Drosophila melanogaster: one gene and its partner. Changing the gene in region 2 together with the main gene of any one other region gives a genetic interaction. Each region holds a gene or a part of one and is shown on either strand. Other genes may lie near its edges.

Region 1 (6,620 bases), 7.2 Mb from region 2:
CAAGTACGACACTGACTTCTACATCCTTGACAAGTTCCCGTTAGCGATACGGCCCTTCTACACGATGCCTGATCCAAACAATCCGGTCTACTCCAACTCTTACGATATGTTCATGCGCGGCGAGGAGATCCTGTCCGGCGCGCAGCGTATCCACGATCCCGAGTACTTAATCGAACGAGCCAAGCACCATGGCATTGGTGAGTACCCCCTACACGTAGTAAATAACTCGTAAGGTCAGCTTAGTCACAAGATCTCTCGGTAAACAATGATAAGACTGCAATAAGAGAATAATATAAATGCATAGCTCAAGTGCTTATATAAGACTGTAACCCATTTCAGATAAGAAGTTGAAACTTATCTACTCTATTAATACTTAATATTAACGCCGTATATATTTGTTTTCTAGATACCTCCAAGATTGCGGCGTACATCGAGTCCTTCCGCTATGGATGTCCTCCACATGCTGGTGGTGGCATTGGAATGGAGCGTGTGGTGATGCTGTATCTGGGATTGGACAACATCCGCAAGACTTCCATGTTCCCGCGCGATCCCAAACGATTAACGCCTTAAGCACGATAGACTCAAACAACGTACTCTTTAGATTTGAATACAATTCGATGAAACAATTGTTTTACTTTCCCTGTGACTTTCCAAGCATTCAGTTCTTTTTATTTTTACGCCAAACCCAATCGTGAGTGTTTTATCCTTCTTCTCAAGACTAACATGCTGCAAAGTTGTTAAACAACGAGAAAAATGTACGGGAAGACTGCCTAGAGTCAAATTTATTTGGAAACTCGTAAGAAATAAATACTTGCGCGTATGTTTTGTACTTTAATAATTGCTTTTAATATTTTGGTTGGTTATTTTTAAGTGGGTAAAATATATAAGCTAACGTGTAGCTAGAATATTATATTTTTGTTGCATACTTTTAGGGTCTGTAGAAAGGCCACATTTGTTCTCATAGCTTATCAATATGCACCTGGTCAAAGAGTTTTCTTAATGTTTTATTCAAAAGGTTGAAACCAGACCAATTTTATTAAAAGCCTTAAGTAAAAACAGTTCACTACTTTTGATTTGTCTAATTGGATTGTAGTATAAGAGATTAATATTCTCATCATTTTCAAAATAAATAAAAGATATTATTATTATCTGGCATTAGAATTTAGAAATTTAGTTTTTGATGCAGGCTGTGTAATAACCATTATAGTTTTCTTGGTGACCATCTATAAGACTGACTACCTTAACTACTTTGAGAATCCCTTAAATAATCACCGCTCGAAGTCCCGTCGGCCATGTCTTCTTTATCTGGAAACTTCTTTCTCAGGTTAAACTCCCACATAAACATGGTTTTTTTTCTAGCTTTCTCCGTAGTTATAGAAGTTTCCCACAACATTTTATGCAACATTGCTTAAACAACTTTCTGCGTATTAAAACAAATTTCGATATTTAGCCAAATCGGTATAACCAGTAATCAAATCATATTAGCTGTCACTAAAACCAAACTTTGTGTTCCGACTTTCCTGGAATTTGTAAATGAAAACATAAGTTTAGATCCTATATGCTCTGTAGTAGGGCTATTTTCCATGCCGACTTGATGTATTCCATTTTTATATTATCCACAGATTTTTCAGCTTTTTTTACACGTTCCTATCAGAAATCTAACAATTAAAGGTGTAGTAGACCGTCTTTCACTTATAAGCATCCACACCTTGTCAACAATCCGCGGCGAAATGAAGGCGAATGAACAGCACAATAAATTGTATTCATTTGCAATCAGATTATTATCAATACGGAAACTTCGCGGTTGAGGAGGGCTTGGGGCTTGGAAGGGGACTGGAAAACAAGGATTGCGGGGGCACTGCAAACACTGTTGACACAGTTGGCGCATACTTTTCATTGCGGAAAGGCAAGGAAAGGAACAAAAGGACGAAGTAGAAGGCCCCGGATGAATGCGAATTCCTTTCAATCTGTTTGTCGAACTTTAAAATCAGAGAGAAACAGCAGGAGTTTCGTCTACTTGAGGACACAATTGAGACGCACTCCATTTTATTTTCACACCGATGTGGCATCGTTAGTTGGAAACCTGGAAACAACAATACAACGCTGAATGCGGCAGCAATCAAGTGGGCGGTGCTTGGCAACTGCAGCACACTAGTTGTCCCGCTCCCACCGCGGTCCAATGACTGCCGTGCGAGAGAGATGGCCCGATACAAGAAATTGCCATTTTGTTTTCAATGCCGCGGCGACTGCGCTGCCGTCGCGCTGCCCGCAAATGCATTGGATTTACCGCTCCTTTTGCCAGTTTGTTTTTTCTCTTCCGATTGAGCGGCAGCCGGAGCTCTCCGTGTTTTTCTCTCACCGCCGCGCGGGATTTTCGATTTCGGATTTTCGATTTCAGCGTAAACGAGAATATCGTAAAATTAAAACGAAACAAAACCAAAATCCTAGTGAGTGATCGCGGCAAGTGCAGTTCATTTGTTTTCCAAGTGCCACATCGCAAAGCAGAATAATAATTATAGAAATAGAGATTTCCGCGGATGCTGCAATTGCCAAAATAGTGCCGTTCTCCATCTCATTTTCGCTCGCTGGCTATCGCCCTCTCTCTCACTCGCTCTCGCACAATCGGGCCGCCAAGAATTTATGGAATTCGGCATTTTGTGGATTTAGCGAAAATATTTTCATTGAGTGCGCCGACCAAATGTTTGCTGCTCGTTTTCGGTTAAAAATAATCGCAGAAGCCGCTGCGCCAAAATCTCAAGAATTCACGTGCGAATTCCCCAGCGCGTATCACTTTAATTACTATTCAAATTAACAACAACAACAAAACGATCAAACGAAAATTAAGTCAAGTTTTACCTTGTCAAGAGATGTGAAATTGTTGAATATTTTGCAAAAAGTGCACTGTAACGAGAATTGAGTTGATTTACGCAAGCAACACTGAACATCTTATTGGATTACACTAAAAACATTCAAGTGGTAAGTGCGGGTTCGATAAATGAAATGTCAAATTGGACCGCAGTCGTTTTCCTTCTGGTGTCATTATAATTATCATAATTTGCCTAATTTATCGATTTGCATTTAATTTTATTATGCATATTAGGCTAAACGTCTGAAATTGATGTTTGTACCTTACATCATAAGGTTAATTTATTAATTCCACTTAATTGGTTATATTGTTCCTATACTTTTTAATTGAATTGTAAAAAGGTACAACGTGAAAAGCTCTGAACAGTTAAGGATTAAAAAAAGGTTGTTAAATAGCTTAAGTTTTTTGTAACGGGAACATTATGGAGCTATAGTTATTTTCCAATTAAATTGGGATAATATGTAATAGCAGTAGTAGAAGCACAGATATAATTTATAGGATTATTCATTAAATTACGAATATTTTTTGTGACAGATAGCTTTTAAAATGTAAATTTTGTGTTTTCATGTCCCGACGGAGGTTTATTTAAAAATGATTCCTATTGCCGTCGGACCTTAGCTATATTTTCATTTCAATAGCTTTTACTGTGTTCAATGCAATAGTTTGTTCAACGTTTGGCATTCGCTGCTGCTGTTATTGTATCAATCAATAGTTGCAACGATTATTTATTTCCATTCTACAAAAAAGCTTAGCATATTAATTTGCGACCTAATTCAAGATATTTCTAAAAGCTAAAGCCAAGAATTAAAGAATTAACTTCAAAGACTTTTAAAGTAATTCCTTATTTTCCGACGGATATCTTTAACAAGTTTTAATTCACTTCGTCTATAAAACCGTTTATGTGCCAGTTTATTGGTTTTTATTTTGATCATAATTACTTTAGCTGTGAAAGCATTCGTTTGTGGTTTTCTATAGCCATTTTGAAACTTGATGATGCTTTGTTTACATGCAATTGCTTTTCAACAGACATTTACGGTTCAAATAGTCACATCATTAAAGTCGGTTTTAACATAAATGCCAGAAATTGGCTCATCAGCTTTGAATTTCTTACCACAATTAGCAAATTGTTAATGCCTTCTCCTGCACTTTTCTCCATTTTCCTTCCAGTTGGCAATTCTTCGTCGGAAACGCGGATGAGAAACGAAATTGACGTTCCAACGCCAAAGGGAAAAAAAAACTGAAAAAATAGAAAACAACGACTAACAGCAATCAACAATGTGGAAATGATAATTGCAATTGCCTGCACAAGCAAACAAAGAAGAAAGAAGCAAGTGAAGAAAGTCGAAGAGCGACGAGGGGAGGAAACTGAGTCGAAAAGAAAAGGAAATTACCCACGAACGGGAATGGCAAATGCATAGAAAGAAGTTTGCGAAAAACAACAAAAAACGTAAACAAAAAACAGACAAAAAGCAATTATAGCTGCTGATACAAACGCGATGGTGTTTTACAATATGTAAATATAATTAGCCGAGCGGAGTTTTCATTCCAGGAATTTTGCCAGCCAACAAAAGAAATAAATACTACAACTGCTGCAGAAAAAATACAACAAAAACAACAAAACACGCCTTGACTTGAAAGCCGGTTTTATAATTACTCCAAGTTTTAGCCCCCTTCCCTCCCCGCGCGCTCTCTATCTATATATCTATCTCCCTCTCTTCAGAGAGAGCATTCAATTTCAAACCCCCGATACGATTACGAATCCAATTGGAACCACGCGTATTGGCATCACAATTCCCTCCCCGCTCAAGTGACAATACCAATTTAACTACCATCCATCGCTAAACCGCAAAAGCAGTGAGCCAGTGTGAGTGCCAGTGCCAGTGCCAGTGTGTGTGTGGCAGTGAGTGGCAGTTGCAGTTGCAAGTGCGCTTGCCACTGCGACAATGGCAGTGTCCTGCCCCGAAGTTATGTACGGTGCCTACTATCCATATCTGTACGGGCGCGCTGGAACAAGTCGATCGTTCTACCAGTATGAGAGGGTGAGTACCGCAAACCTATCGATTCGATTCGATGCGATTCGATTTTGCCTTCCGAACTTTGAATATTTGGCCGGGTAATCAGGCCAAAACAACTGCATTCGGCTAACTCCTCGAGCGAACAAAATTGCTTTCAAAGCAATATTACTTTAAAAACATCGCATTTTAAAGATTAGATTGATTTGACTTGGCATGTACTTGGCTTAAACTCCAAGCAGTCAGTAAAATATTTATAATTAACACTTTTACAAGCAGAAGAAGAATAGTTATTTAGTAACCTTTTTGAACGTAGGCTGCTTTTAAAAAATGGATATTAAACTTATAGTCGGAATTCAATAGCACCATTAAATAAATATTGATAGTCACGTGGATGTGGTCACAAAAAATATGGAATTTTAGTCAGACAAGTTTTACTTGTTCAGTTCAATAGTTAATGCTCGAAAAATAGTTTATCGTTTATTAGATTGGTTTATTATTGGTTTGTTTACACTCAGGAATACCATTCAATTAATCAAAATCTCAGCGAAATCTCTGTAGTGGCAATCACAATTTCTCTTTGCATAAGTAATAAATTAAGGATTTTAAATTAGAAATTTGAAATAATTTATGAAGAAAAAGAATTAAATAGATAGTAAAACAACAAAGGTTAACTAACAGAAATAGCAACAATTTGAGATTATTTAACTTATTAGATCTATTAAGTACTAATTACTCACTAATTTCATAAAATATCAGAGAAATAAGCTAAAACCGAGCAGCAAAAGTGTTGGTGACCAAATTTGTATCTTGGACATTTTTGGCTAGCGAATTTTTGAGTTTAAGGCGTTGCGGTTTTTGTGGCTAACGCACGTAGCAAGGTGTTAAAAATTTCCAAACTTACAATTGTCTATACTTTTTGTAAGTCCAAGTTAACTGTTTTTTTTTTAGGTAATACCATTGCTTGAAATGATAAGAAATCTCGTCTGTAAAACAGAAGGAATTGAATAACTTGCTTAGAATTTTAATTAGTCAAAGCTAAATAGGGAAATTTTCAGTTACACAAAACAACTTTTAAAAAGGAACTAGATGATTTAGTACAATAAGAGTTAAAAGAAGCAGCGTTCTTAAATACTTATATCTTGTATTTCTTGCGTTTATGCTCACATTTGTAATTGCAAAAAATAAATTTAAGGAGTGAAGGCTCTTTGTGAAAGCGCAATTCAAAACTGGAATCCCATTTGTGCAACGCAAGTTTCTGTTGGCCAGCACAAAGTGGCTCGCTTTGCATAAACACAGAGTGGCCATAAGGAAAATCAGAAAACGTTTTGTTAAGACTCTTGTTCGTTCGTCTCCTTTTAACCAAACGAGCGTACGAAGAACAAGTTGGAGAAGCACTTTAAGAAGGGAAAGCACCGAGGATGAGTCACTTGGCCACCGCTGATTGATGGATACCTCTTTGCACTTTTGGCCAAGGCCAACCGAAAGCTACTGTGTTGTTGGCTGCGTCAATTTGTTTGAACGGGCTTGGAGCCTGAATAATTAGACGCTTCTAACAAATCATAAGAATTCACGCAGAACGCAAATCGATTTGGGAAACCCGAAACAATAAAGAACCGAAAAAAAGAGAAGTTGCCAAACTAAAGGGGCAACATTTCAAGGAATTCCGCAACTCAATGTTGGCTTTGTTTCGCCTCTCCCGCTTTTTGCTAACATTGATTTCGAAGATTTCGCTGTGATTT
Region 2 (8,031 bases):
AATCTGCTTTTATCTGTTTTATTATCCAATAGTCGAGGCACTTGAAATATCATTATCTGTAAGTTGTATCATATACATGTCTTGACTCTAGTTATGCCCGTTATTTTACAGGAAAGGGGTATATTGTGTTTATTGAAAAGTATGTAACAGGTAGAAGGGAGCTTTAATTCACAAATATCTGTCGGTATCCCAGCTAAATTATGAAATTCCCCGTTCGCATTCTCACTAGCCGACTAGAGCATTCTCTCTTGTTTATCCTTGAAACTAAGAATTGGCTTAGAAGAAAAGGTATTTGTAAAGCATATAACGGGTAGAATGATACTTAGCAACTTAGCAAGTTTATATATCATGATCACTTTCAAAATCCGAGATCATTTAACACGTCCATCTGTCCCTACTTCTTTCTGTCTGCCCCATATGGAGGCAGAGAGCTTAGTTTCTCTGCGGCCTCGAAAATTCTATTAGCAAAACCCCAGCGATGCAACAATTAAAAATTTTTTTAATTTGTAAGCTAAAATATTTGTCAGCTTGGGTCAATGCGCTCTGTCATTAGTCAGAAAAAACAATATACCCAAGAAATGAGGATTATATTTGTAGGTACATACATTTTATTTGTAAAATATTCTATTATTTTACTGTGTTTGAGAAAATTGAAATATCGCCCATGACGTCGTAGGATACCCAATTTTGAAATTTTAAATATGAGTTATTAAGGGAATATTCAGTTTTAAAACATCTGTGAAGTACGGATTGACAATTTTTGACAAAAAAAAAAATTCTTAATTGGCTAGGTTGCCTCTGGTAGCTATCCGTCATGGTGTTTTTTTTTTTTTATTACTAAGCTGTATTTTGGAGTGCCATTCTTGACTCTTTCGAAAGGATAATTTATAATATTATTTTTATTCAAGTAAGTATTATAATTTTTTTTTATAGTCGAGTTCGTCGTCTATTAGATATCCCTTACTTAGCCAAATTAACTTCGAGGGAGACAGGTTCCTGCCCCCTTCTTTTACACTTACCACTTATTATATTTATGGTATCTAAAAACTTCAAAAGTATCGGAGTGACTCGAACTACATATTTTTAGTATTTCGTTAGATGTTGACTAAAGAAAACTTAACTGCCACGAATTCAGTATACCCTTATTACGTATTGTAGAGTAGAATTCTAACAGAGGGATGAGATGGTTATATTTTCTAATAATCACATAACATGATTAACGTTTATTATACATAAATCTACAATTATTAAAGATCAAATCGGTTTATACACCAATGTTTTACCAATGATTACTGTTACCGTTATTTTGTCCTTATGTGCCCATCTCTTATAATGTATTAGTATATTTTACGCACTTTTGTAAGATGGGCCTGTTTACAATAAAAAAAGATGTAAAATTTAAAAGAATCTATAAACAAATTATTATGAGGCACTGTACCAATTATAATGGTCTGAAAATACTGCATGTATTCGCATTTACTCTTGTCAATATTAAAATCATGAGAATTCAGCTGTGTATATTCGTAAGGAATAAGGACCCAAAATCTGTGCCGACGTCCACAACCAATCCACCCAATCAGTTCCGACTTAACCGGGGTTCTTTGAAAGCCCTCTTAAGTCAACAAGCAACAATAGCAACAACGAGGTGAAACATTTTGCCCAAAAATAAAGTTAAATGCGAAGGCTAAGTCGCACAAACATTTCAAATACGTAATACATGTTTTAAAACTTTCTGCGAAGAGTTCAAAAAGCAGCGGCGAACTTATGTATGTAACAGCAGAAGTATATTAACAATTACACTTAAAAAAATTTCTTTTTCAACGATTGAATCAACGTAAGCTGGTTGAAATTCTGAAAATGCATTGCAGTTAATGGCAAATATTTTACATTATTAAAATGTAACCGTAACCTCAACCAAAACTTGCCAAATATATGTAAGTTACAACCGGCAAAACACTCAAAATGTCAAACATTTGTGGAATCATAGTGAATGCATACCACAAAAGCTGAATATTTATAGCTGTAACTGCAATAAAAGTATTTAACGTTAAATCTGCTCCCTAAGCCATTTGGAGATTTGTGTGCACTTTGTTTCAAGCTTGTGCGGAATTAAAGGAGAAGTGACAGCAAGGTTCTATGATGACAGTTCTTATTGGAAGCAGGCGACAACTTGGGCGTAGTGCTGGTAGCGTTTGAACTGGTTGAGAATTATAAATACACCTGTCAAACGAACCTATATTCTTTCAACATTTATAGCGTCAGCATACGAAAACACAATAAATAGCTCTCAGTAAGTTAGTTACAACTTTTCTGCATGATGTTTTCAGCATGAAGACGGCATATATAGACACCATGCATCTTTTCATTACACAACTAAAGAATCAGCAGAGTCAACCGAAGACCCGCTGGTGTGAGAGTTCGTTCCCCTGTGCGTCCTCAGACCACTGTTCGTCCTCTGCGAGTTGGAATTCCTGTCACGGACTCCGCTCGCAGCTTCCAGTTCGAGTCTGGAGTCCATCCTCATTCATGTGGCGTCTGGCGCACAGCTTATACTCCTCCTGACTGCTGCTACCGCTGCCTTATTCACGTTTTGCAGCCGGCCAACTGTCCGGTGGGCGGTGCGTGGGGAGGCGATTTCGGCTGGTGCGAGAGCGCGGATAGAACACCACGCCCTCTTCGTCTACTGGCTGTGCTCTAGAGCGGGAACGAGCTACTGACGCTATCAGCTGAGAGCGCCGCCATTTGCCACTACGTGAGAGCTGCGGAATGAGCGTGTGTGCAAGCAGGATGGCAGCTCATGCGCGACATCGCACTCACTCACACTGGCGCGCGCACATCACGCACGCAAACACACGGCGAACGGGGCGGTGGAGTTTTTTGGCTTCTGGCGCTGCGCTCGCACAGCGTCCAAACATTCCCAGTTTTTCAGCTGCGACGGCTGGTTGTCCTCACGATTTTGAGTAGATCAGCTGCAGACCAAAGTCGGTAGTCGAGTTTCGAATTTGAGTCGGTTTTTGTTTTTGGAAGCGGTGCGCGTATTCGATTTTTGTTTTGACTTGAGCTCGGCTGTAGTTTCGGTTTGCCAGAACTGGATCGAAGGAGAATCGACACAGAAACAGGGAGTTGGCGAAACGGATACAAAACTGAAGTTGGATCGGTAATCGCCTGCCCGGTCATAAACAACAACACAAGGGAGCACAGCCGCATACGCATACGCGCCTCTGTCTCTAATGCCTTATCAGTAACAGGCATCGTCGAGTGTCGTAGGAAGAGCCCGACAAAGGCCGACCTTTACCACTCAATTTGGATCTGATGTGCCATTCTCGCGCTGTCTCGTAAATTAATGTCATAAATTAACTTTAGATTTCTTACGCTAACCGGTGGTCGTCAGCGGTCCGAAAACGCCTTTGCGCTCGAGATACAGGGGCGGTTTCTAATCAATACAAATATCCTACCTGCCGCCGAGTCAAGTGTTTTAGTGAGTGTGTGACCCTATGTTCCTTATATTACCTTGGTGCTAAGGAGAAAGTTTAAAAAAAGCGGCATTCAAATCGTAGTTTGTGCAATAAGAAAAGGCAAGCCAATGGTGTCAATCTCTAAGACAACGCCGAAGTGATGCATGTCCGCAAAGTAATAGATCAAGTTGTGCGCACACTTATTACCGGCGAGCCTAGCCGGGCATCTAATCGTGGCCAGTGTCAAGTGTCCAATAGCACATCTAGCCGGGGTGTAGAGGATTACCCAAGACCAACGTAGCACCGCAGCCCTTTTAAGGAGGCATAAGGCTCGCAAGACACAACGCACAGCCTACACAACGACAAACATAACACGACCGACGGACATCATCCTTGGAAATAGACCTCGTGTCATTCCAAAAGACGCACATGGGCGTCTGCACCGAGGAGCGCCCTGTGATGCATTGGGTAAGTTCTGCCGCCGTAGCACATAAAATCCAAAGTTACCAGCGATAAGACTAAAAAATAAGTCATCCACCAGTCCGTCCCAGCTCACCCAAACTCTGCCCTTTGTGATTAATATTGATCCGAGCCTGGGTTACTCGGAGTTATCAATACCAGACTGAAAGCTTGCCTATCAACAGACAGCCCCACTCAATATCGATAAGAAAGCCGCTTGGGCATTTCAGATTAAAAACAGTTCCCAGAAGTGTTCAATCAGTGGCTAGTTCGCTCGTTGAAACATTGCTGTAGAACGCGGTTACAAAATTTCAATGTGATTCCCTGCCTTAATTTTTATTCATCTAACTTAGGTTAGAATCATTTAATGTTTAAGAAGGCAGATTTTTGATGATAGTCGTACTAATCAATATACAATCAAATTGGGCGGCATAGTCGTGCAAAAAAATTAATAGATATGTAGAAATCAAAATACAGGTAAAACAAATATGTACGTTTTTACGAAATTTTTGTATATATCTGATATTCGACGCGAACGTATTCAGTTTTAGAGAATAATCACCGTGTGCCAATATATACCAATTTGATATATTTTAATAGTAGTCAATTGACCTTCAAATACTAATTTTTAACGCGAATAAGGCATTTTCTACCACACAGAGATATTCTTGTACCATTTTTTTGAAAAGAACGAATTGCCTTGATGAGTTACATGAACATCTTTTACCTATTTTTGATTTTGTCATTTTTAATTGCTATTCCTATTTTGAAACATAACGCATTCCTTATACTTTATGCAAACAATTTTTTGTTACTTTACAACTTTGGTGTTTGAAATCTGTGTGTTTGTTTTAATTCCCATCTTTTGTATGTTTTCCAAATGTCATCGATTACTGTAAATCGAGATGTACGAGTATTCGAATTCTAGTCTATATATACCACATCTATATATTGTACAAGAATTGTATAAGATTGTATTGTATAAGAATAGGAAAATCGTAAATAAATTGGAAGAGTAAAATGGTATGAAACATTCGTTGAAAAGTATGTAACAGACAGATGGAAGGGTTACCGACCCTTATAAGGGATATCCTTGATTAAGGTCAATAGCCGAGTTGATCTGGCCATGTCCGCCTGTCCGTTCTTTTATTCGTCCAACCGTCCGTCCTTTTAAACGTTTTAGGAATTGTAAAAGCTGAAACCTAGTCTTGAACATTCATATTGTACTGCCGTTTTAAAGTATTTCCAAGTCCACTAAAACAAACTCCCATATCTCAAAATTCTTTCTTCCTAAAGTATTCGAAAATGTGTTGATGATGTGTTTACCTGATAAATTCGGCACATCGATCAAGTTACGAAATTGATTAAATTCGGACTATTAAAAATTTTATAAAAGTAATTTTAGAGTTTTTTTTTTCAAATTTTTATTTTTGTACATTTCTTTTTATATATAAAAGTCGAGTTCCCCAACTATCAGATACCCGTTACTCAGCTAGTGGGAATGAAAACGCAACATTTCATCATTTTGCTGGAATATCGTTAGATATCGGTGAATAAAATGAACAAAAATTTAAATTTAAACCGCCAAGAAATACGCTTTTGAAATATGTTTTGATATTTTTCATGTTTTATAAGTCTTTAAATTTTTACCGATTTGCCAAAAAACTCTTTGACATGCACAAACAGCCCAAAGCGGCCACGCCCATCTTGATGAAAATGTTTTGGTATATTTCCGTTTTATGTATGTATTGTAATACCAAGAAAATTTTTAACACACCCTTTCTAACTTATCATTCGTCTTAATTTTTTTTCCAATTTCTTTCGATATGCAAAAAAATTGAAATTTATTTTTCGCAGTCTGCCTAGCTGAGTAACCGATATCCAATAGCGAGAAATAGACAACGAATTCAAATACATTTTTTTGTAGCTGTCATTTGCCCGTAATCAAAATATCGGAAACATCAATAAGTCCTATTGTTAAGTTTGTTACAAAACTCAATTTTAATTCAATTCAATTTTTTCTACAAAAACTCAATTTTAATGTGAATAAATACAAGGGGAAATTTGCTTGATATTGTGCGCTTGGCAAATTAACACAATAAAAATATTTTTAGTGCACTAAGTATCATATACATACATATGTTTGCGATTCTTATATTCTTTAAAATAGTAGAAACTTTTTCGATCTTTAATGTATTTTACAATAATGTTAGGCATTAACGGTGCTTATTATATTATTATACGTTATTATAACGTATTATTATTATTATACGTACACATCCGATATACTCTGTTTGATGACTGTGGATCGACAATGTTAGGAACTTCAAATTAGGAACTTACAAATGTATCATTTGATATAGCTAGAAAAACACAGACATTTTTTTGAAGTAAGTGCTTTCTGTCTACAGAGTGGCCAAATAAGCTTAAAAGTTGTTTGAATATTTGTAGTGGTATATTAGTTGTTTAGCTCGGTATCTGTAATATTGTACTTTTTGCCACTTATCTGCAATTTGGTTCACTATGCAGAGCAACCTTCATCAGGTGAATAATATGTTACAACTCATTGTCTAAACGTTTTATAATAGATTGGCACAGAAAACATACATCTATTGTATGTTTTGGTTTCGATGGAACCGTTTTAAAATAACTAACAATAAAAACAGCCATAACGTGTTCCTAAAAGCCTCAATTCTTTGTTCAGATCGTCAAGTTGTGCAGGGCACATAGCTTTCCGGAAATGCCATTATTTCTGTCCTTTTGACAATTACTTGCGATTATTACGAATACTACGAATAAAACATGAAACAAGTGTTAGTCGTAAAAATTACTTTCGTTACCTTACATTTTATTACTTTCACTATTCTCAACTTTGATATAATCCCTATTAAAACAATGTAAATACATTAACTAAAACAGTGATTAATTATATTTAAAGTCAAACTTTAATTGAATAGATTTGAGATATGATCAAAACATTTTATGTACCCCTTCTTGTTGAGTATGGGACGTCACTATATATATATATATATATATATATATTAATTAAAATCAGTAGACAAGCTTATATCGGTAGGTATACCTACCGATATAAGGTTTTCTACTGATTTTAATTTCCCTAACAACATCAGCTTGCATGACTCAGCTTTAAACGAATAGCAACAATAATAATAATAATAGCCTTTAAAAAAATACCCTCCAGGATTTACGAGTCATCATTGATATCTAAGTATATATAAGTACGCCAAAAATAGAACAAGTGTGATCAAAAGCAATAAGTTGTACTTTTTTATTATTTATTTTATTTTGTTATTTTTTATACCCGTTGATCGTAGAGTAAAAGGGCATACTATATTCGTTGAAAATTATGTAAAAGGTGCAAGTAAGCGTTTTAAAGTATATATATTCTTGATCAGGATCAATAGCCGAGTCGATCTAGCCAAGTCCGTCAGTGCGTATGAACGTCGAGATCTCAGGAACTATAAAAGCTAGAACGCCCACACTTTTGAACCATTTTTAGAAATTTTGAGTAACGAGCATCTGATAGTCGGAAAACTTAACTATATCATTCTCTCTTTTTTTTATTTAATAATTTTCCTTACGGAATTCTTTTTTTCAAAGTCGAAAGGAAATATTCTAAAATTATTTAAATATGTTGATATTTGTTTGTGGTCTTTCTTTTGCCATCCATATTATAAATCGTTAAACTCTCATACAATACGTTAATACACTTTAACGAAATCAAAAATGCATAACATGTAAATATTTTAAATTACCGCACAAAATTGTATTGCTTAAGATGCAGAGGTAAAGACATTAGCTAAAATTTTAATTTTTCTCTAACTTCAAGTAATTTTTAAATTCATTTAATTATGTTAATACTAGTGCACTAAGCGCTTTTTACTCCACTCACACAACCATATTCTCTGACGGATGCAATTCAAACATTTCTCTAGAGTCTAAACTTTTGAAATGAACGAAAAACAAAAAAAAGTAATTGAATAAAATAAATAATAATAATAAATAAATAATAAATATTTTCGTAGACAGGAATAGTATTCGGAAATATTTTATTACCTATTGTTAATGAATTATTGTCTTACAGCCTAAGATAAGA

What was found.
Region 1: of ap (region 2) and vg, changing one suppresses a phenotype caused by changing the other (phenotypic suppression), as found in Drosophila melanogaster (3 studies listed by BioGRID).

The regions. Positions count from the first base shown.
Region 1 is NT_033778.4:12,882,336-12,888,955, forward strand, and holds the start of vg (vestigial), read left to right. Parts: upstream 1-1,865; 5' UTR 1,866-2,976; intron 2,977-4,033; 5' UTR 4,034-4,809; coding exon 4,810-4,905; intron 4,906-6,620. Other genes in the region: AspRS (Aspartyl-tRNA synthetase), read left to right, coding at 1-197, 407-570. UniProt on the Drosophila melanogaster protein: Involved in determining which thoracic imaginal disk cells will form wings and halteres, perhaps by interacting with other nuclear regulatory proteins.
Region 2 is NT_033778.4:5,721,713-5,729,743, reverse strand, and holds the start of ap (apterous), read left to right. Parts: upstream 1-2,911; 5' UTR 2,912-3,884; coding exon 3,885-3,923; intron 3,924-8,031. UniProt on the Drosophila melanogaster protein: Required for the normal development of the wing and halter imaginal disks.